5 linked regions of the Coturnix japonica genome follow. The protein of the gene in region 2 purifies or fractionates together with the protein of the main gene of each other region. This does not show direct contact. Links are inferred from orthologs where the notes say so. Each region holds a gene or a part of one and is shown on either strand. Other genes may lie near its edges.

The links. Proteins that work in one complex are often made in the same cells at the same time.
Region 1: the proteins of CRKL (region 2) and RAPGEF1 purify together in Homo sapiens (affinity purification with western blotting; 16 studies listed by BioGRID and IntAct, with this or other methods). This does not show direct contact. The link is inferred for Coturnix japonica from reciprocal best matches to the Homo sapiens genes CRKL and RAPGEF1.
Region 3: the proteins of CRKL (region 2) and SOS1 purify together in Homo sapiens (affinity purification with mass spectrometry; 3 studies listed by BioGRID and IntAct, with this or other methods). This does not show direct contact. The link is inferred for Coturnix japonica from reciprocal best matches to the Homo sapiens genes CRKL and SOS1.
Region 4: the proteins of CRKL (region 2) and GAB2 purify together in Homo sapiens (affinity purification with western blotting; 3 studies listed by BioGRID). This does not show direct contact. The link is inferred for Coturnix japonica from reciprocal best matches to the Homo sapiens genes CRKL and GAB2.
Region 5: the proteins of CRKL (region 2) and GAB1 purify together in Homo sapiens (affinity purification with western blotting; 3 studies listed by BioGRID and IntAct, with this or other methods). This does not show direct contact. The link is inferred for Coturnix japonica from reciprocal best matches to the Homo sapiens genes CRKL and GAB1.

What each region holds. Positions count from the first base shown.
Region 1 is NC_029532.1:4,845,284-4,849,694, forward strand, and holds part of RAPGEF1 (rap guanine nucleotide exchange factor 1), read right to left. Parts: intron 3,041-4,411; coding exon 2,884-3,040; intron 1-2,883. UniProt on the Homo sapiens protein: Guanine nucleotide-releasing protein that binds to SH3 domain of CRK and GRB2/ASH. Transduces signals from CRK to activate RAS. Involved in cell branching and adhesion mediated by BCAR1-CRK-RAPGEF1 signaling and activation of RAP1.
Region 2 is NC_029530.1:7,291,542-7,295,453, reverse strand, and holds part of CRKL (crk-like protein), read left to right. Parts: intron 1-2,269; coding exon 2,270-2,404; 3' UTR 2,405-3,912. UniProt on the Homo sapiens protein: May mediate the transduction of intracellular signals.
Region 3 is NC_029518.1:14,489,071-14,493,481, reverse strand, and holds part of SOS1 (son of sevenless homolog 1), read left to right. Parts: coding exon 1-57; intron 58-604; coding exon 605-769; intron 770-2,713; coding exon 2,714-2,923; intron 2,924-3,407; coding exon 3,408-3,551; intron 3,552-4,411.
Region 4 is NC_029516.1:172,541,590-172,546,000, forward strand, and holds the end of GAB2 (GRB2-associated-binding protein 2), read left to right. Parts: intron 1-258; coding exon 259-402; 3' UTR 403-3,288; downstream 3,289-4,411. UniProt on the Homo sapiens protein: Adapter protein which acts downstream of several membrane receptors including cytokine, antigen, hormone, cell matrix and growth factor receptors to regulate multiple signaling pathways.
Region 5 is NC_029519.1:26,842,725-26,847,135, forward strand, and holds part of GAB1 (GRB2-associated-binding protein 1), read left to right. Parts: intron 1-1,430; coding exon 1,431-2,035; intron 2,036-3,835; coding exon 3,836-3,921; intron 3,922-4,124; coding exon 4,125-4,411. UniProt on the Homo sapiens protein: Adapter protein that plays a role in intracellular signaling cascades triggered by activated receptor-type kinases. Plays a role in FGFR1 signaling. Probably involved in signaling by the epidermal growth factor receptor (EGFR) and the insulin receptor (INSR).

The DNA of each region.
Region 1 (4,411 bases), on a different chromosome or scaffold from region 2:
AAAGATGTCCAACAACAAATTAAATAGCAAACACCTTAATTAAAAGGCCTGCTCCCCCCAGAGCCATCTTTTAACTTGTTAGCAATGAAAGTCTTCATCATTCAGGAAACTATTATAGCGTATCTGTTGTAGGCAGATAAGGCGGTGGATAAAGAGATAAGCACATGATAATCCTGAGCTCCAAGTCTGCCAGCAGTCAAAGCAACATCTGGAGATTCATCACTCACTCCAGAAGGATGGAGAGAACTTTTCATGCGTGTCTGTGACCAACAAATGTATCTGCTGCTCACAGACACAAACACGTGCCCTCTCAGTTAGGCTGCATAACTGGCAGTGCTTCCTGACACTATTGGCTTCCCAGCATGTTATGCAAAGGAAATTATATGGGATCAATTTTACTTATTAGCAGCCTGAACTACAGTGTCATCATTTCAGCATCATCTCCACGTCTGTGCCTGCTGAGGTCAGAAACAGCTGCTTCCTCTTCCAAAGCAATAATCACAGAGAGAATAAAGTAGCACCGTGGATGTGCAAAGGACGGACACTGCAACCCATTTCAACACGTCCAAGAGCACACCGCAACTGATTCTGACTGGGCCAATGTATGTACTTACATTCATGGTATGACCTTGGGCACAAAAATAATCTGCACAGAGCCCACCAACCACACAACAAAATGCTCAGCTTTCAAGAAGCTGTCTTGGAAAAGCCCACACATGGGGAAGGATGAGAGTGCACAAGCACAGCACATACAGATGGCCATCTGAGCTAACACTATGAAGATGGTCCTGTCTGGGACCTCAATTAGCACAAGCACAAAAGCACTAGATTCCCTGAATCCTGCCTTTTTCTCCTCTCCACTAACCCCAGAATGAGAACTAGTGTTTGAAAATCAAGCCAAGATCTTCAGTATACAGTACAGAGGTAATCAGCACTCAGCTGAGCCAGATGCACATTATGCTGTTCCTTATCAGCAAGTAAAGAGATTCCTGCAGCAGTAATTAGAGATAATTAAAGCCTCTGTATAAACTTCTACTACTTCAGCAAACTGAAAATTCCAAAATGAGATGGATTTTTAAGAAGTTATGTAATCAAAACAAGGATTTTTTTCCCCCCTGTTATATATAGCAGGCAAGGCATTAAAACCTGCAATCAAAACAGCAAACAGCACAAGTGAACAAGCAACTCGTTTGTGCTCAGTTCTGAAAATAAAGGGGGAAATAAACACCGAAATGTGGAAGTGGATCTTATGTGATCTGCCAAAGAAACAGAAAAGGCTCTCCACAGCACAGAAGGGTCCAGCTTCTCAGTTCTGCTTCCAGACCTGAAGGCTGGCTTGGCCCTTCTAAAATAAACCTTCTTTTTAGGAGATGAGTACAAAGCACTTCCATATACTGAGTCTTGGTGGCCAGACATTAACATCTACCCGGACGGCCTCACATCTGCTCTCATCATGTTCCAAGCTGACTAGACATAAGCCAGCTCTAACTGGAAGGCCAAAATAACTTGCAATCTAGCAGCAAGAGGAGCCTGATACAGCTCAGTGGGGTTAATAGCTCAGGCTTAGCATTGCATGGCTGTGCCTGCACTGCTTCCAGCCTAGGCTGGCTCAGCAGACATCCACGGCCTTCCATCCATTTAGCCATCCATCGTCCATCCGTCCGTCCATCCATCCATCCATCCATCCATCCATCCATCCATCCATCCATCCATCCATCCATCCATCCATCCACACTGCTTTGGTTAGGAAGCAACTGGTATCAGATGCTTAAGCCTTCTTTGAAGTGAAAGGACAGTGGGTGTCCCAAGTTTCATGCAACTGTAACCCAGATCTAGTGATAACACAGGACTGTGTAGATTCATTAGGTGATAACAGGGTGAACCCTCTTGCAGTTTATCAGGCTTGACTATTCATCTGTCAAGAGTGCAGAGTTTCATATACTGCAAATGGCTGCTGAATTGCCACACTAACAGCAGCTGAGATTTAATGCTGAACTCTTCTCCATCCCGCTGTGCAAACTTAATACCCGCTTTACTTTTCAAATTCAGAGCTTAAAGTTAAAGGGCATATTATGCAAAATAATCCTGGAAAATCTGTCCACTTTAGGTGATGGAAATGTTTTCTTCCAAAGACATTTGTTTTAAAGGATTGATAAGTCACACTAGGGTTTAAGCAACATTACAGAGATATTCAGAGCACGCAAAAAACACATAAAGATTCCTGAAAGCATGATAGTCAAAGCTGGGGATATTCACTGGATTTTCACATTCAAATCCAGATACTAAAACCAAATGGAGTTTGAGTACAGTCAAAGATGCCATTTCCTGACACACTCATCCAGTTGAAGAACCTGCTGCAGCTCTTAAAAGTCTAAATTTCCTACTGGATTTGAACTCAACACTGCTCTGCCAGTTCAGCCCTGTTGTTAAAGATGCTCAACGTATCACTGACAAACACTTTGACATTCATGCTAAAAGATGGAGCTGGAATCTTTGATTCTCTGTGGGTACTGGAAGGAAGCACTTCCATTAAATTTCGTCTAGACAGAAAACATGCAAACTCAGTACTGTAATCTGCATAGGAGAATTAGAGAATGGGAATTACCTGCTGAAAATTTAATACAATGCTCAATTAAGATTTATTGCTTTGGGCAATCCATCCAAATGCCAGGGTGAACATATAGAACTGCACATTAATAGCTAAACCATTAGTGCTGGTCTTTAACCAGTACACCAAGCAGGACCATTTCACTTCCAGAGCAGTCAATTTAAGAGGTAAGGCTGCTGAAAAAGCAGGATCCTACCAGCACTTAAAAGCTTCTTTCAGCTAGATCTCTTCTAGAATACAGACACCGTATGCTTTCTATGACTTGTCTCACATACCTTAACTCCATCCAGAACAGCTTTTATGACATCTTTAACAGTTGTCACCATCTCTTTGTCTTCGGAATTCACACCTTCCAGCATCACTTGATCAGACCAGCGAATGAGATTGGCCAGGCTCTGGTACACACGGCTGTAGCAGGATGAGATGGCAGAACTGGATGGCAGGGAAGGAAACAGTCAAGAAAAAAAGAGAGAAAAAAAAAAATAATCAATTACAGAGATATTATCACATAGTACCAGAGAGAGCACGATCTAAAGTGCATTTCACACTGCTAAAATTATTTCGACACTACCCACTGTTGTGGTTCTCCTTTTCATTCTGGCATTCATGATTTACGTTCAGCAGGTGACAAAGCCTGGGCTTTCAGCAGTTGCTCTCCTGTTCTTTAGAGCCAAATGGAACAACAGTATGAAAGTACAACCAGCTAATAATCTGAGCTGCAAGCTAACACAGCCATGCTAAGAAGAATGCTCTTTGCCTTTTAATCCACACCCCCATCCTATGCTTCAGCTTCAAAGGCAACTGCTGAATCCTGCATTTACGTCTAATTGATATTATTCCAATGTTATCTATGCTTTCCTTCTTAACTGCCCTCAGAAAACGTTTTACGTTACTGCAAGCTGACTGCATCACTCCTTTACAAATCATTTCCCCCACTGTTTATGATGCCTGAAAACAAGCAATTCAAACCTGCTTCTTTACAAACTTTGAGCTGAATGAATTTCAGGTTTGGAAGAGGAAGGGTGTTGTTTTGTTTTGCTTTTAATGAGAACCAGAACCCAAAGCTATTGTTCTGAAGGAAGAGAAATGAAATTTGGAAGGATGACAACCCTAAATAAAAGTTAACTGTAACAACAGTGCTCAGAGGCACTTTCCTGGCCGCGCTGAAAACATTTCATTACTAAACAAGGTGTGTTAATAGTAATGCTGATGGCAACTCTTTGTAAAATTAAATCACTTTCAAACTGCATCAAAACCCCATAAGGAGATAAGAGAGGGCGCAATCTTGCCATCATCACAGATAGGAGCATTCTGAAGCTTCCCATTCCTCTCTGGCACCCATTTGACACTGGCTTAAATCCATTAATTTCATTATCTGTGAGAAGAGCACCAAACCCACAAACCCAAGTGAGATGATTCAGGTGTTTGCAGAACCAGGGGTAGAACTATTGTCAGCCTATAGCCAGAGGGATACAGACAGCAGCAAGGGCTTCTTAGTTTGTTTGTTTTATAAGCACAGTGTTTGCCATTTGTTCTAATTTTAAACAAAATTAACTTAGTGGGAGATATTTCCTAAATAGGGCCCTCCTCCATCTCTTTCTCTGGCTTTGATTTCTTTGTGATTAATCTTTGTTCTGCTTCCTTCTAAGGAGGCAGTAATTGAAAGCCTATTTTGTGCTAGATTTAATTACTTTTTTCCTCGATGCAAACCCTTCCCCTAAAGCAAAAAGAAGCCCAACAGTAATTGTAGGGCTTTCTTCCACACTGACACAAGTCTTGCTCTCTTTTCTTGAGGGGGATTTA
Region 2 (3,912 bases):
AAGTAATATTCCCAAGCCCATCCACGCTGTAGAAACCAGTCAAATTGAAGGATATTTCTCTAAGCCTTCTGCACAAACTTTGGATGAAACTCTACAGCATGTGAACAGAATAAAATCAGACTCAGAACGCCAGTCTGTGTGTTTCTTTTGCCCTGTGTACTACTGATTTTTTCCCATTAATAAGATTAAAATGCTTCCAAGTGACTTGTTTCTATGGAGTGGAGCATATGCAGTTTCCTGTTGGATTTTGACTGTCGTAGTGAAGCTTTCTGAATTCGAGTCTAAAACCTGGAACTCAAGTTTGTCCTTAAAAGTTACTTAAATCTAGCAGAGTAACACCGAGTTATTTATAGATGTTATCAGCCTTTTCCTAAAGAGGCTTTTGTTAGGTTCCTGTTTAAGTCATCGTGTTACTATATAAAGCTTTCTCTAGACTTTCCATTTAATGAGAAGTCAGACAAATTGTGCTTTTTCTCAAACACACCATCAAGACAAGCTGCAGCACTCCAAGAAGAGATGGAAACCAGCCACACTGATGCTACAGGAGCATGTAACTATCAGGCAGTGTATCACTACTTAGAGGATACACAGACTTTATCTTTTAGTTTACATACGTGAAGATGACAGTTGAAGAAAGTCCCACAATTATCACAAGAACGTATAGGAGTTCAGAGAGGATTTTCCTCTCTGGAAAGTACAACATTGTTCCACATGTGCCATCTGGAACATCTAGATGGGAAGTGGAAAAAACCTCTAAGTAGCGGTAAAAGCAGGGCAAGAGAGTGGGGTGAACATAATTATTATCTAACTCCATTCTAATATGCTTACATTTCTGAGAAATCTTCAGAGCTACACATTGCTGAGCGAGTGCCAGAGTTGAGTGTAACATCTTAAGTCTCACTTAAGGGTTAGGAATGCTTCTGAGCAATCTTCAAATAACGCTTTATTGCAGTAATGGTAACTACTTGCAGTAGGCTTTAGGAATATGTTTTGTAAAATCAGCCTTTTACTTTGAGTAAAGATGCACCCATCTAACTGAGAAGTTAGAATTCAAAATCCTTTGCCGAGGTCCTGAAACTACCTGTGTTAGTTCTACATGTCAGTGTTACTGAGATAATGCATATGAATTGTTATTATTGACATACTGTGTCTAACATGTTTTTCCCTCAAGAAGATCACAGCTTGTTGCCTCTGGAGCTTATAGAAGTTGGCTGCTGATGTGAAACCCGGCTGTGTAGTGCTTGAACCTCCTTTGGGGTAGAACCTTCTCAAGTGCTTACTGTTAGCTGTAGCATGGTTCTACCTTTTGTGCCCTCAGCTATTAGCTGCTGTTGTCACTTTTCTATACTTTACTATAGTTACCACATAGATGCAATTCAGTAAACAGGAAGGGAGATGCAATTAAGAAGGCTGCTGCAACAGGCCGCATGCTCAGCTCTTCTGAAACAGTTTAGGGGGAAATAACTATATAGTCTTCAGCACTGCCTGCTGTAGCACATTTTGCTTTATGAATTATCCTAATACAAATTAAACACAGCACCGAACAGAATAATTTACCACTTGAGCTGATGGCTTTTTCTTTTTTTGCTCGATCATAGCTTAGCTCTGCTCATCTTTGGCCAAATAGGAAGAGACGCAGTTGTGATAGGAAAGGCTCAACAAGTCACTGTTCCTGTTTCAAACTCTCTGATGGGAAGTGAAGGTGAAAGCAGCAAACCAAGCTAGAATTTGTGCATCTTAGACTTGGGAACACCTGTTACGGAATGCTTTTATCTGCTTTGGAAGCACAGCAGAATTGCAGAGAACTCCACCAGTTTCTTAGACCTTTACAGCCAGAACTGGAACTCTGAGTCTGTTTACTACAGGAATCTCTTTGAAAAAGATAATTTCCCTTTGAAATAAACCTGGTAATGCTGAAAACAAGTACTGTGCTCTTTTGAATGCTTGTTGCATCTCATTACTTGTGGTAGCTTTAGTGATGTCAGTCTGTCTAAGCTAAATATATTGCAGCATGAAGAAGCTTTTTTACAGGAAAAGGTGTGGTTCAGCAACTCATTGCAACATGTAAATATACATTCAGTTCAGCTGTCCCAAAAAGTGTACAGATTTCCAGCACCAAAGTGTTTGTATCAGTTAAAAACAACTGCTTTCCCTTTAAAGCTAAAGGTATTTTAAGTTACGAAGTCGTATTTTTTGTTCTTGTTTACTTGATTTGTATCAAAGCTGAGATTCTCATGTGTGCTAACAGGTGTTTTTTTTAATGCTGCAGGTTGGAGATATTGTGAAGGTTACAAGGATGAATATAAACGGTCAGTGGGAAGGAGAGGTCAACGGGCGAAAAGGGCTCTTCCCATTCACACATGTCAAAATCTTTGACCCTCAAAACCCAGATGAGAACGAATGATTCCCTTGATCTGATTTACACTGCTGCTTCCCTTTCCTGGCTCTCATTAGTGTTGTTTGAGGTGGGATGATGGCTAAATGGCACATTGCTAGCATTGCCCATTTTTCCAGCTTGCTGCAGTTTGACAGTTCTTTTAATACACATTTGGAATACATACAAACTGAAGTCACTGCCTGACCTTCATACCATAGATACAGCAACCAGAATTTGGTTTCACTTTTAAAACTGTATTGGGCCTTAAGCTGGAGAAGACTGAAGCAAATAGCAGACAAGCATGGGAAGAAAATCCTTCTTCTTGAAACTTCCATGGACTTGTTCTGGCCTGCTCAGTAGGAAGAGCCCTATCATAGAGCAAACATGCAACTCGTCTGTTACTGTCCAACAAAAAGCAACAACAAAAATGCAATTTTAGGACTGAAGAAAACTTAGTTTTAAGAAAACCTGCCCTAAGGTAGTACACTTACAATGATGGTCTCTTAAAAGGACATTAACTGAAGCTTACGTATTCTAAGCAGTTGCATTAGAAGCTGCTCATTCTGGTTAACTCTTAAGCTTGTTGACCTTCCTGGAAGTGTGTGTTAAATACAAATAACCATTGGTTGAGCTGCATTGAAGCTGAAGCATTTATTTATAAGGAAGCTTAGGAGGGGTTCACACTTGTAACCCATTTCTGACATAAAGTATTTCTGTTGATTTTGCAAGCACTAACTGTAATAAGTGAGCGTTAAAGGGAAACACTTTGACCTGGTCTACACAGAGCCCTTCTGCAGTGTTGGAAGTAGAGCTTTACTAATGTAGTAATGCTTGTCACCCAGCTGTTATTTGGTAGGCAGATGGATCAGATTGTTACAGCATGAAGAAGTACAAAAGGAACAGGACAGAAGACATTGGTAAATACTGATAAATTCTTACTATTTAAACATAAACCTTTTATACCTGTTTCTCTATAGTCTCCCTTATTGCTCTCAAGTTTCCTGGCTATACCTGCCCCAACTTGCTGAAGGCTTTGAACACAGTACCTTTTTCTCCAGGGTATCTCCACGTTGCCGTGCTCCTCTTCCAGAAGTTCTTTCTTCTTTCATTTTCTTCCCCTCACATCACAAGTCATTCACATGCTGCAACCTTTCACCTTCCAAAGGAGTTGGCTCTGGCTTATATACATATGCCCCAGACCCCTCCTACTCTCAGCTTCCTCTAGAAAGTGGTTAATTGGAGTCAGCTGCCAAAGGTTTTACACCTGATAATTAAAGTTCATGCTGGAGGAGGCCACACAGGTGTCTCTTATCAATACAGCTTTCTCTCCCCTTTTCTGTACAAAAGCTGTACTGTTGTAATTGCACCTTTGGTAAGGAACTATATGGCTGTAGCTATGTGAGTCTTATCAATGCCACGCTGGTCAAGTTCTTAACCTGTTTACGGGATATGAAAGTTTAGGGACAGTAGTATCTTCTACCTTCTTTAAATGTGTTTTCAAGGTGAACTGGAACGTATTTTTTAAATGATTTGAG
Region 3 (4,411 bases), on a different chromosome or scaffold from region 2:
CGAAAACGAAGAAATCCGTTATCTCTCCCAGTAGAAAAAATCCATCCTTTATTGAAGGTAAGTAGCGATGTCATCCTGATTTTGGAATGCAATTGGAAATTGACAGCTTTGTTTTGTGTGATTTCTGTTTGGTGCCTGAAATGTAAACCAAAAAAGCCCAACGACGTGTGTTTCTTTCAACGTAATTTAATTTTCAATGTTTCCAGTTCAGTTAATTGCATATATTTCTTTTATTTACACATCTAAGGATATTTTTGGAAATTTCTTGATTGTTTTTTGAGTCATGCGAAATAATAACCAAATTTGTAGCAAATGAGCACATGGCTTTCTTTATCCACTAGAGAGTGCAAGCAAGAAACCTTTCAAGCAAGGCTTCTGGGACAGTTCACTGTGGTCACTAATGTAGCTGATAGAGCAGCATCTACAGTGTTGCTGTTTATTTACTTGACCCACAGACTGTTGCATTACTGTTGCTAAAATAGACTGTATGTTGCCAATGTCAAGTAGAGTCTTAAACTTGCACCATAGGTTACAGTTACAAATCGTATATTTTGACACCTGAATAACATAGGATGTTTCGTGTTGGTTTTTTTTTTCCTTTCAGGAGGTTCTAGGTTACAAAATCGACCACCAAGTGTCTGTTTACATAGTGGCAGTATTAGAATACATTTCTGCAGACATACTGAAATTGGTTGGGAATTATGTACGAAATATAAGGCATTATGAAATTACAAAACAAGATATTAAAGTGGCAATGTGTGCTGATAAGGTAAGCTTAACTCTTGTTTTTCATGTTAAAAGAGCATTGAAGTTGAATTTTAAGAGGACTTGTCTATCTATTCCTTATTGAGTAAGCAGTGTTGTATGAAGAAATTGCTGCAGTAAAATATTGTTCCAGTAATGCAACAAAACTATCTGAAAGCTAATTGAGTTGCAGAGCTGTTACTCGTGCTTATTTACAGTTAAGTGTCTCTTTCTTTTGATATTGCTTGCCTAATCCCAGCAATGTGTGAATGCTTTAAAAGTTGTGAAGCAGCAAAGACTTCAACATTTCACATTCATTGGCATTAATAGTAGCTCCTGCTTTTCTTCTTTGTATCTTAGAAAAAAGAAGGCTGAATTGAAGCATGGGTACTTTCCCAAAATAAGACCGTATTGCAGTGTTTCTGTGCTCAAGTTAAAAACAGACAAACGTAGGCATCTCTGTTTCTCTGTAGGCATCCATACTTTTATTGCCAGGTCTTCTTTCCTCTGGTTTCAGAAGAGTCATTAGATTCAGACAGTAGTTACCTCTTTACCCAGTGATCCAGCAGTGCTGGAGAACAGGCTGTTGCGTTTCAGGTGCCTTCGCACTCTGGTTTCTATGGCCACCTCATCAGCATCTTGAGTTTTCCGTTTAAAAAACCAAAGCCTGAAGTTAGTCCTTTAACAGATGGGTCTCGAGAGATGCTCATATTGCTGCAGTCCAGTGGATGCTTTCAGTATCTTTGGTTGGACTTGCCTCTTCTTCAAGGAATGCTTTTGTCTTGTTCACGCTTGAGTTTTTTTTCCATCTTGCTTCCATCTTCATCTCAAGAGGAAAGAAAGGTGTTGTGTGAGGCTGAATTATTAGTGAGGTTGTGTGAGTGAATTATTAGTCAGGACAGTTGTCTTGGTCGTTTGGTCTTTTGGATGCACCCTCCTGGGCTGTTACAGCGGTGTTTGGAGCTGTGTGCTTGAATATAGAATAGGAACAGTGCTGTTGCTGCATGTGTCTCTGTATCCTGGGCAGGGATGGCTGATGGGTTAAAGAGGCTAATTGGGAAAGTGCATTAGGCACTAGTACACTGGAGTAAGTGTAGAAGAAGCTTTTGGGAGCTCTGAAGTGGGCATGTTGATTTACTGGCTCAGTGGAATAAGCCATTGGCAGGTATTTCCACGCTGTTTTCTTTTCCAGCCGCATCAAGGACCTTTAGGTTCCTGCTGTCAGTGTGCGCATTCTGCTTTTCTTTTTTTAACAAAACAACCAAAAGTTTGTCATCTTCTGTCTCCTTTCCAAATGCTTTCACACTTCTGTTGGTGCCACCTGGCTATCTGAAAAATTCTACTTTGTTTAAAAAAAGAAAGAAACAACAACAAAAAAACCACAGAGCAAACAAAACCGCACACAAAAAACCATCACCTGCATTAGAATGCAAGCTATTTTTATTTGACTGTCTGCTCGTGCTTCTGAATTCTCTAAGTGATTCCAGTTCAGAAGAACTGAGGAGCTGGTATTCATCACAGGTAACGGGGTTCTGAGTTCAAGTCACAAATGGCTTTCTGTTAAAGCCAAAGGTGAAGAGCCGAAACGCACGTGCTTCTCCATAATATTGCATCTTTAGAATCTTAGGTTGTGTAGGCTTATTCAGTGTTACAGAACATTACTAAATGCTGACACCTCCGTGCTTCATAGAACTCTTAGAGCAGTGATTGATTTTTAGGACCACGTTCTGAAACGTGCCAAGACTGGCCTGAGTGATGGGGTTCTTCAGAAATTTGCACTGCAAATATTGACTTGCAGATTCATAACAGTGCGTGTTGCTTTCATAATGCTCAACCAATTGCAGAACGATAAGTACAAACACTGCTGCTGGTTAGTTTGATTTAATGGAAATAATTTTATTTTCTGAAAACTTACTGGTAGATCTTGAAGTTCTGTCACTTTATGGCTTTCTCCCTCTTTGCTGGCTAGGTGTTAATGGATATGTTCCATCAAGATGTAGAAGATTTAAGTGCACTAACTTTATCTGACGAGGAGCCCTCCACTTCAGGGGAGCAAACCTATTACGACCTAGTGAAGTCATTTATGGCAGAAGTCCGGCAATATATAAGGGAACTTAATCTCATTATCAGAGTCTTTAGAGAGCCATATGCCTCCAACTCCAAACTATTTTCATCTCATGTAAGTGTTGTGTTTAAATAAGTATATGTGTATATAACATAATCTGTAAATGCTCATCTAGATTTATACAACTTAACTATTGTCCAGTTTAACACATCCATAGCAGAGAAACACTTCCCTTGAGTTCTGAAATGTGAATTGTAAATGTTTGTGAGGAAACATCTTTCTGTAGAAGAAACCATTCAATTTTATGTGTTCACTTGCAGGAAGGACGAGTTAAAGGTTGGTCAATGCTCTCTGCCACATTAAATTCATTGTAAATGCTTTTATTTTTATATGTACATATACAAAGTCATTGTTTTAAAAATAAATGCTATGATTTTATATTTCAAAAGTTATATACACAATATTGTTTATAAATTCTTGTTCTGGTTAAGGAAATGTTTAATTCTCATATTGTAACAGAGTTGTTTTGTACATAACATTGTATCTCAAATTATGTCCAGTTCCTCATTGATTTTTGCCTGTTTCTGTTTCTTTGCAGGATGTTGAAAATATCTTTAGTCGTATATCAGACATTCATGAACTTAGTGTAAAGTTATTGGGTCATATAGAAGACACTGTTGAAATGACAGATGAAGGTAGTCCTCATCCGTTAGTAGGCAGCTGTTTTGAAGATATGGCTGAGGTAAGAAAATACTGATTTTTCTGTTGCTGTTGTTAATCACGTGGACTTTAAGGATTTGCACGCAGGTGCTAAGCGCATGTCTGCCAAGGTGCCTTTATTTAGATTTTTGATTTCTTTTTCTAACCCTCCCCCAGTCGAGAGTAAACTATTTTTCTAGAGCATTCACCTTTATAGTCTTAGTCTTCAATCTTTGTAGGCTGTTTAATCTTCAGTAGAGGCAGGGGGAACAAACAACAACAACCCAGTGACTAGATTTCAACAGCAGAGTGAAGCAAGGGCTTCTTTGCCAGCAGGTGTCCTGAGCTGGTGAGGAGGGCTATTACACTAGGCTTGCTACGGGAAAGAAACTGAAGCTTGAAGATGGGGGACATTACAGAGGAAGGTCTTCAAAAGGAATGTTGTGTCTGAGCTTCTCCTGCAAAAATTTACCAAAGTCTTCTTTAAGCAAGGGGTTATTACCACAGACCCTGTAGCTTCTAGGAGAATAACCATGCTGACATCCACAAGTTACTGTGGTTGAAGTAGCTCAGAAGGTTTCTACAGGTCATGAGAACTGATATGGATTTGACAAGTGTGGAGTGTTTGAATGAGGAACTGGCTGTGAGATTATACCCAGAGAGTGGTGATCAGTGGATCAATGTCCAAATGGAAATCAGTGACAAGTTGCGTGTCTCAGAGTTTAGTACTGGGACTTACACTCTTTACATCTTCATCAGTGACATCAGCAGTGGGATTGAGTGTAAACACAGCAAGTTTGCAAATGACACCAAGCTGTGTGGTACAGTCACTGCACCCAGATGGGATGCAATTCAGAAGAGATCTAGACAGGCCTGCAGCACTGGGCCCAGGTGAACCTTATG
Region 4 (4,411 bases), on a different chromosome or scaffold from region 2:
AGAATTCTTGAGATCTTACAAGAAAATGAGCAAGATGCGACTCGTGCTCCAGAGCTGGTGAGAAGGCAGAGACCTGGGTGCTGGTTTAACCCTCCCATCACACTGTGGTCTCATGCAAGAAAGCTGCAGAAGAGACCAAAATCTTTCACCCGATACCGTTCAGGAGGTCAGAGGGAGGGTGATGAACTGTAAGGGAGGATGGGAGTCGATGGCTGCTGATGGATAACCAGCTGGTGGCTGTCTTTCTCCTCCCCACAGCCCTCCACCTCATCAGCTGCCTCAGATGAGAAGGTTGACTATGTGCAAGTGGACAAGGAGAAGACACAGGCGCTGCAGAGCACCATGCAGGAGTGGACTGATGTGCGGCAGTCCTCAGAAGCCACCAAGAGCACCAAGCAATAGCGGCAGGGCAGACACCTAACAGGCAAATGTCCCAGGGGTTCTCCCAGCTTGGGGCCCTACCAGACTTCCAGCTCCATTTGGACTGGATTTCTCTAAAACTGCTGTCTGTGTGGAGGGGAAGGGTTCTTTATTATCATTTTCTTTTAAGACAAAAGGAACTTAATTGCAGAGGAAGACTTGGCAGATACTGTTTGCCAGTGATAAAGGTCAACTGTATTTGTTGGCTGGGTTTGTGCTTTAGCTGCTGAATGCACCATCCAGGAACTTTGATGTAGCAATACCAGGTTCCACCTTACACATTTGTTGCTTACAGTTATTAAAGCCACCTTGTATATGCTAATACCATCCTTCCCTGCCTTCTTCCATACCATGCCCATAAACTGTGCCACTTAGGTTTGGCAGCATCTCTTCTAGGACATCATTTCCCACCACCAATTCTCTTCTCCTTATGGTTGCCTTCTTCTCAGCATCCACTCAATCCCAAACCTGAGCAAAGACCATTCCTCTTTGACTTTATTTTCATCATCCCATCTATTGTAAATAGTGATGTGTTCAAAACTTCTGATAGTTTTTCTCACTGTGGGACAGCCTCTGTGTTTCTGGTAGTGATTTGTAACCATGATGAGCTCGAAGAGCTTCCAGACTGCCTTGTTGAGCTGGCTTTGCAGTCCAGGACTTACCCCACCGTACATACATACACCAGCACGTACTCAGACACTTGCATGCATGCAGGAACACCCAGGTGTGATGGAGTGTCTTTTATGGTTGACTCTCAGAGTCATTGGGTTGGAGATGCTGGCTTTGGATGGCAGAATTTCAGCCTCTCTGAAGCCAATTGCCTGTGAATCTGGCCCTAGGAACCAAAACCTACCTTTTGTGGCACAAAAATAAGCCCAGAGAGGATGAGTCCTACCCTTGGCTATCTGTATGAGGCATTCAGAAGGGCTGTGGGGCGCCTGTGTACCTGGGTTGATGTGAGGTTGAGTGATAAGTGGGAGGCAAGAGGAGATGTAGGGACCAGGAGAAGGCAGATGTTGTACCTCAGAAGTTGGACTTGGGTGAGGGGCTTCTGTGGGCTTTATCTGGGGTGAAAGGAGTGGAATAACTGAAATGTTTGTCAGTGGTGAAGCCCTAGGCTTGGAAAGGAGCTGGCCAGAAGAAGCAGGACAGGGTATTTCAGTGTTAAATGTATTGTAGCATAGAGCTGGTTCATGCTGGAAGCAAAGGATTGGTCTAAATATTGTTCCTCATCTTTGGTGATACCTCTTTGATACAGATGGGACTTTGTGATGGTCACGACCCCAGGTTCTGATAATGGATGGGAAGCTGCTGTTCCACTGCCTGCATCTTTGACACATGGAGGCTTTGGGATTGTTCCCCAAGCAGCTGCCGCACATGGAGAGTAGAGAAGGAAGAGGCAGCTTATTGCAAAGATAATTACTCATGATCTCATGAAAACAGGAAGAACTAATGATTGCCATGGAGCTGCCTGATTGCCAGACAGCAAGCGCTGACACAGATAAACAGACTGACTGCATATCGAGAGCTAAACAAAAGGCACGTTAGAAGGATTAGGTAATAACATTTGCTAAACAGCTTGAGTTATTCTTTCTTCAAGATGGACCCCTCCCAGCACCAGGAGCTCTACTTCCCACAACCACCACCAAGAAAAGCAATCGTTTGTATTAAGTATTGATGCTTAAGTGTTAACACAGTTGTTTAATCTTGGCCTGAGTTTGGAAAGGGTCAGATGCATCTCACATGGGTACAGGATGCCAGACCCTTAGAGGCTAGGATCTGCCTCATAAAATAAGTCCTCAGTTTCCAACACACGTTTGTGTTTTCCTCTGCCCTGCCATGAAATGGGACGATCTTAAGGGAAAAGCTCTGATGACCCTTTTAAGACATTGCAGTGTTGGGCTTTTACAAGAATAATGGAGCAAATATCCTCATGCTTATGGTAAAAATAATAATCATCATCTAGGAGAGAGATGAGAGAAGTCCCAAAGGGGAAGATTTAGCACAGCCAGATGCTTTGTGAAGACCAGGGCCTGTGCTTCTCATTGTGGACTTGAACGCTTGCATGGTGAGATAATGAAATGAAGAGCAGAGTGCAGTGCTTCATCTTTCTATAGCCCCTTTCATCACCACTTCTCAGGGGAGACAAAACATTGGGTCTGGTCCAGAGCCCACTGAAGTCACTGTAAAGGCTCCCATGAAGCTCAGTGAGCTCATTAAGAGGATGTGGAGAGATCTTCTGGCCTTGGCATCCCATGGGTGCCTGAAACACGAAGGAAAAGCCAGTCCCATGGATCTGGTGTGCATTGACCTGGCTGGAAGTGAGCTCTGCACAGTCCCTGTGGAAAGGCAAAGAACTTGGCTTTCCTATTTTGTCCCCCAACCTGCTCTATACAAAGGAAAATCAGGTTGGGGAGGAGGGATTATGATGTACACTGAACGCATTTCCCTGCCAAAATCATGCTGTTTGCCTCCTAAAATGCAGCCTTCTCTGGGTGGATGGCAGCAGAAACTTCAGAAATAGCCCTTCATGTTGCTTGGGGTCTCTCGCAGTGCAATTATGCTTGAGGTGAAACTGAGCCAGCTTCAGGCCAAAGAAAGCTTGAGCCACACCAAAAGCATGAAAAAATCAAGTTGTAATTGTAATTTTCTTCACTTTTCTGGCCAAGTGCATTAGATATATATCCAGTTGTTTGGAGCACGGTCAGAAATGTGTCTTCTACCTCATGTGAGGCTGGGAGATGGGGAGTGCAGCGTTTGAGGCACAGACTCAGATGTGAATGATCCAAATCGTTTATTACAAGTTCTCACATCCCTTATATACCTTTACAAGTTGTTATTTTCTAACTTTCCCGTCCGCCCTTACAACTTTCCCAACCACCTTTACATGTCAACAAAGCATTCTTCAAAACACTTTTCAACTGTCCATGCAGGCACGTATCCAATCAGAGCTGTGAGACTCTTCTTCTCCTTGCAGAGGTGTCCTTGGTTCTCATGCTGTTTATCTTGCTCCACAGCTGCTGCTCTGAACAGCTTTTCTTGTATTCCCACAGGGGAGCTCAGCCATGGTGCCATTGTTTGAGAACCAAACCAGGGTTGGATACAGTTGGTGCATCTAGTGCCCACTTCCATGTTTAATCCAAGGTGTTAAGATTAGGAAAGCATAATCAGTACTAAACACTACTGGAGAAAACAGTCCTTTTTCTCCACATCCCACAGTGATGATATTTGTTCACAGGTAGACTCCATCCATATAGACGTGGCTGTACCAGCCCCTCTGTAATCAATTGCTGCAGTGGAAATCGCCATTCCCGCCTGTTGTTGAGCTGATTACAGCAGTCCCTGATGATTAATGTTTGTGTAGTATTTAGTCTTAAACTGTATTGAAAAGCAGCTGGCTTAATTACACGGACTGCCAAGAACTTTGTCCCGAAGGCACTGAGTTTATCACATCCACTCTATACTTGGATACTCAAGTATGACAGACTCTTTTGTTAGAAATAGGTATTTTAGGAAGCTGAGAATACTGCTAATGATTCTTTTTAATTGCAGGCAAAAGACCTGACTTGAGTCCTTACGTCTGAGCCTCCTCTTCAGCTGCACAGTCTCATTTATGACAAGGGATGTGCTTTTATACGTGTTTGCTCACGGAGGAGGGTTGACGGTAGGACATCATGACCTCAGTTTTTAGTTTTATTAAGTATCAGAGCCATGTCAGAAAGCTCTTCTAGCATTTAAAACTACTGATTTGGTGGGTTTGGGGGCAGAGGTTACCAAAAACTGTGTATTCCTTTTTGTGAGTTTGCAACTGCTGTTCACAACCACTCTGTCTCATGAGATACATGAGTTGTCTTTGAACTGATTTGCTCTTACTTGACATTTGAGAGTTTCCATCTCTAAGTGGATGCCAGGATTAGATCTAGTCTCAAATATAAGAAAATATGTGTGTGTGCAGATTGCTCTGGGACAAAGCTGACTGACTGGCAGATGG
Region 5 (4,411 bases), on a different chromosome or scaffold from region 2:
AGTTCCCTTGAGAGTTGGCACAGAGACGCTCTTAGGGAGTGATTTATGGTTTTTTAGGTGGATATCTGAGAAGAATGGCTTTTTTTTCACACTGTATCAATATCTCCACAATGAATGAAGAGGAAACCTAAATGAATAGCTAAACTGGATTCCTTTCTCCCCAGGTTGCTAGAACCTGGAAGGAGAACCTGGAGGTAAAAATCTGGCTATTGCTTAAGTAAGGAAATGTTTGATTTTATAGACAAATTGATCATTTTTAGAACAAGAATCTTTTAAAGGAAAGATAGTGCTGATTTGAATCTTTTCTTCAGCAGCTTTGTAAGCTATATTGCCCAGTTGCTTAGTATGAGTAGTATACCAGCTATTCATTATTATACACATGCTGCAATATGTAGGTATGTATAAACAAAAACAATGATATGATGCTGTGGTAACGATAAAAGGAAACACCAGGATATGGTGGAAAAACTGCATCACCTCCACCTACATTAGTATTTCTGCAGTTGTCTTAACTTGCACTTAAACAAGGATTCAGACTTAGAATCTCTCTTCCTGGAGCAAGGTAACTGGGGAGGTGTTCTCCCCTATATCCTCCTACCCCCCCCAATAAAAACAACAGTAAACAATACCCCAAACCAGAAGGTAGTTGTTTACTTTCTTTATTCATTTGTACCAGTAATAATGAGAGCTGTTCTCATAAAAAGTGGCCGTTCCAAAAAAAAATAAAGGCAAGTAACTGTGCAGTTTTGCGTAATGATGTGACCTTGTGTTCACAGAAAAGAAGCACTCTGTTGTTGCGTATGTCATATGGATTTCTCTCTTTTTCTCTTTTTTATAATATGATTTAAAACAAACAAAAAACAAACAAAAAAAACAAAAAACAACTACTTGAATCAGTTTTATTTGGTTAGTAGGTAACTTCAGGCATGCACTTAAGGGTGTTGCAACCAGTCATATTTTATCATATTTTTTCATACTGGTTAGAACTAGCAAGTATTCTAATCTCAAGGGTTGAATGCATTTTCACTTTTAAGTGTTGTTGAAACGCTGCTAGTTTGCAGAACTGATTAAAAGAATAAAAAATTAAAGAAACCCAACCTTCAACTACCCAAATAGACTTTGCTTTAGGTTGGCTTGACATCTTCCTGGAAATCACTTGCTTTATGAAATACCAACTTGCTGAGCTGCTGCTAAAGCTGCGCACTTGTGCTGTTATGTTTCACATGCATGGGTCTGTATATGTGTAATCACTTAGAATCCTTCTGCAGTACTGTTTGTTTTGTAATTGGGTTCCTGCGTTTCATTTTTTAAAAGTTGGAAGAGACTGATAAACCTTTCAGCTGTTCACATTTTAAACATTTTTTTAATTATTCTTGATGCTTGTTTTCTTTGTGTTCATTGATGTTTTAATCTCTTGATCTTGTGTGTAGATCTCATGCTGACTCTGCAAAATCCAGCTCTTCTGAAACAGACTGCAATGATAATGTGCCCTCCCACAAAAACCCCGCTCCATCCATGAGCAAGCAAGCTGTGAATGGCTTTTTTCAGCAGCAAGGTGTCTATGACTCTCCGCCTTCTCGTACTGGACTACCATTGGCAGACTCCAGCCTTTATAACCTGCCTAGGAGTTACTCACAAGATGTTTTACCGAAGGCAGCATCTCCAACAGGGACTGATGCAGAAGGCGAGCAACATGTTTTCAATACGCCATCAGCAACATCGTCATTAGATGCACAGATGAGGCACATCTCCATTAGTTATGACATTCCCCCTACACCTGGAGGTACTTATCAGATTCCAAGAACTTTTCCAGAAGGAACATTGTCTCAGACTTCAAAATTGGAGACTATTCCAGATATTCCTCCACCTCGGCCACCAAAACCTCACCACGCTGCAGATCGATCTCCTGTGGAAACATGTAGCATTACTCGAACAGCTTCAGATACTGATAGTAGCTATTGTATCCCTACTGCAGGAATACCGCCCTCACGCAGTAATACCATTTCAACTGTAGATTTGAATATCTTTCGTAAAGGTCAGTGCTCCATATTTTACTTTTCTCTTCCAGATTCTTTTAATACTGAATGATATTAGTCTTATGAAGAAAGAAGTGGTACGTGTGGGTTGAATATTGAGTGTTGCTTGTATCCTTGAGAAGCAAGTGTGTGGCACTTCACAAAGCACTCACTGAAGTCTAAAATATGGAAGAAACCAGAGAAAGAGATGTTTAATAAAGGAAAGACATCAGAATGTCAGAACATTGATAGAGGCTACTCCACTGTGGTATTCAGCTTTAGCTGAATGTTTTTGAAGTGCTAGACGTTTCCGTGGTGTTACTAGTCTTACAAAACAGCAGAGGAAAAATAAACATTGTTTTTTGCTAATAACATCATATAGCTGAGTTCAAAACCGCTGCTGTCAGTCTGTCAGAACAACCAAGGTAAGGTTCGCACATAGTGATCCAAATCTGCATAAGCTGGAAGTTCAGTGGAGTTTGGTATGCACCAGGAACTTTTAGGTCAACCCTGAACTGGTTATTGATACTACAGAAGTTTTGTGTTAGACGTGCATGCAAAGTTTTTAAAGTAAAATTGAAGTTGTTCCTTGTAGCCTTTTAAATGTCAGCACTGCGGACTTGCTAATGCATTTCTGTTGTTTTTCCTTTAGCAGCTGGATACATTTCTGGGTACTAGCAAATCCAGTGGAGCTACTTTTACTTTAGAAAGACTTTAGTGTTTCTTGTATTTCTGCCCGTTTATTTGTACATGTTCTTATTCTCTCAGATTTAAAGTAAAGAAATGCAGTGAAAGGCTGAGTTTGAAAAGTGACATTTGTTGTTACAGAGAGCAGTTGCTGTTGTCTTACTAAAAACGTTTGGGCTAAGAGTTTCATTTCTTTCAGGTTCCTGAGGCAGGTGGGTATGAAGGCATGACTTTTAAAGTGGGATTCTATACTGGCTGCTGCTGATGTCTGTGGGGACAGTTGCAGTGCCTGTGGGTCAGCAGGCAAAAATGACAAAGATGATGGTGGTGGGGGAAGCCTTTGGAGCTCTTTTTCTAGGTCAAGAAGGGAATGAAACAGTTTCCCCCCAAGTTTCTGTCTTAGTGTCAGTAGAAGCAGGCTTGCTGAGCAGTAATGCAAGCTGTTGCCTGCAGCAGGTGAGTGGGACCCAGGACCTGGGAGCACAGTATTTCACAAACATCCTCCAGAGAGGCAGTCACGAAGGTGGACCTTCTTAATGTGGAGTGCTGGGAGCCAGGATCCTGAGAAGCATGAGATATTTAGGTTCTGTCACTTATTCAAAGTGAAAACCCCTGGAAACCTAACAGGGGAGTTGAGAGAAGAGTTGTGGGGTATAAGAATTTACCTGTCAATGTAATCAATTAATTTCTGTTGAATCAGCACTTTCCAAGCAAGCATGTTCAGTCGGAAGACCTCTCTCTAGACCTTAAATTATATCTGTTGTTCATTTATTTCATAGTAGGTTTCTCATGAGGGCCGTATATCTCAAAATGTATTGGTCTTGCAGTAAAGTTTTATACCTGTCTGTTTTGAAAGGAAGATTTATCTGGTTCTTTAAAAGGAATAATTTGTGTTTTTTTTGGTTTTTTTTTCCCTGCCATGGAAAACATCACTATAAGATTTTCAAGTTGATTGGCAAGTGCTGAGTTCGTTTATGAACACAGTCATCTCAAGTCTATAGATAAAAACTGTTGGTCACAACTTTGGGAGGTGTGTTTGCATGGTGTCGTAGAAGCAGACAGTAAATAACAATGACTGGTGCCAGGGGACGGGTGAGCAGGAATGATTAATAGCCACTTTCTTATTTCTTTAGAAATTAGTTCTCAAGACTGTTATGATATTCCACGAACGTTTCCGAATGACAGATCTAATTCATTGGAGGGCTTCCATAACCACTTTGTAAGTATGATGTGATCTTATGACAGACAACAGTGATAGCTTAAATGCTCTTTGTTTCTGTATAAAAAAGCAAGCTGTATGGTGTTTGTGATGTTCAGTTTCAAAATGATGTTTTAATCTGAGTAGCTTAGGTTAAAAGATTCATATGATTCTCAGCTGATTGCGTAACTTATTTTGTTAAAGGAAATATATGTTAATTCTAGAAAAACAGAAGCATGTTGACAGTGGGAAGTGTTTCAAGTGAAGAACTAGATGAGAATTATGTCCCAATGAATCCCAACTCTCCTCCACGACAGCATTCCAGCAGCTTCACTGAACCCATCCAGGAAACAAATTATGTTCCAATGACACCAGGCACGTTTGATTTTCCGTTATTTGGAAAGCAAGTCCCTCCTCCCTCTCACATGGGTTTCAGGTCCAGTCCAAAGACCCCTCCCAGACGGTCAGTGCCTACTGAAAAATGTGAACCACCACCAGTGGATCGGAACCT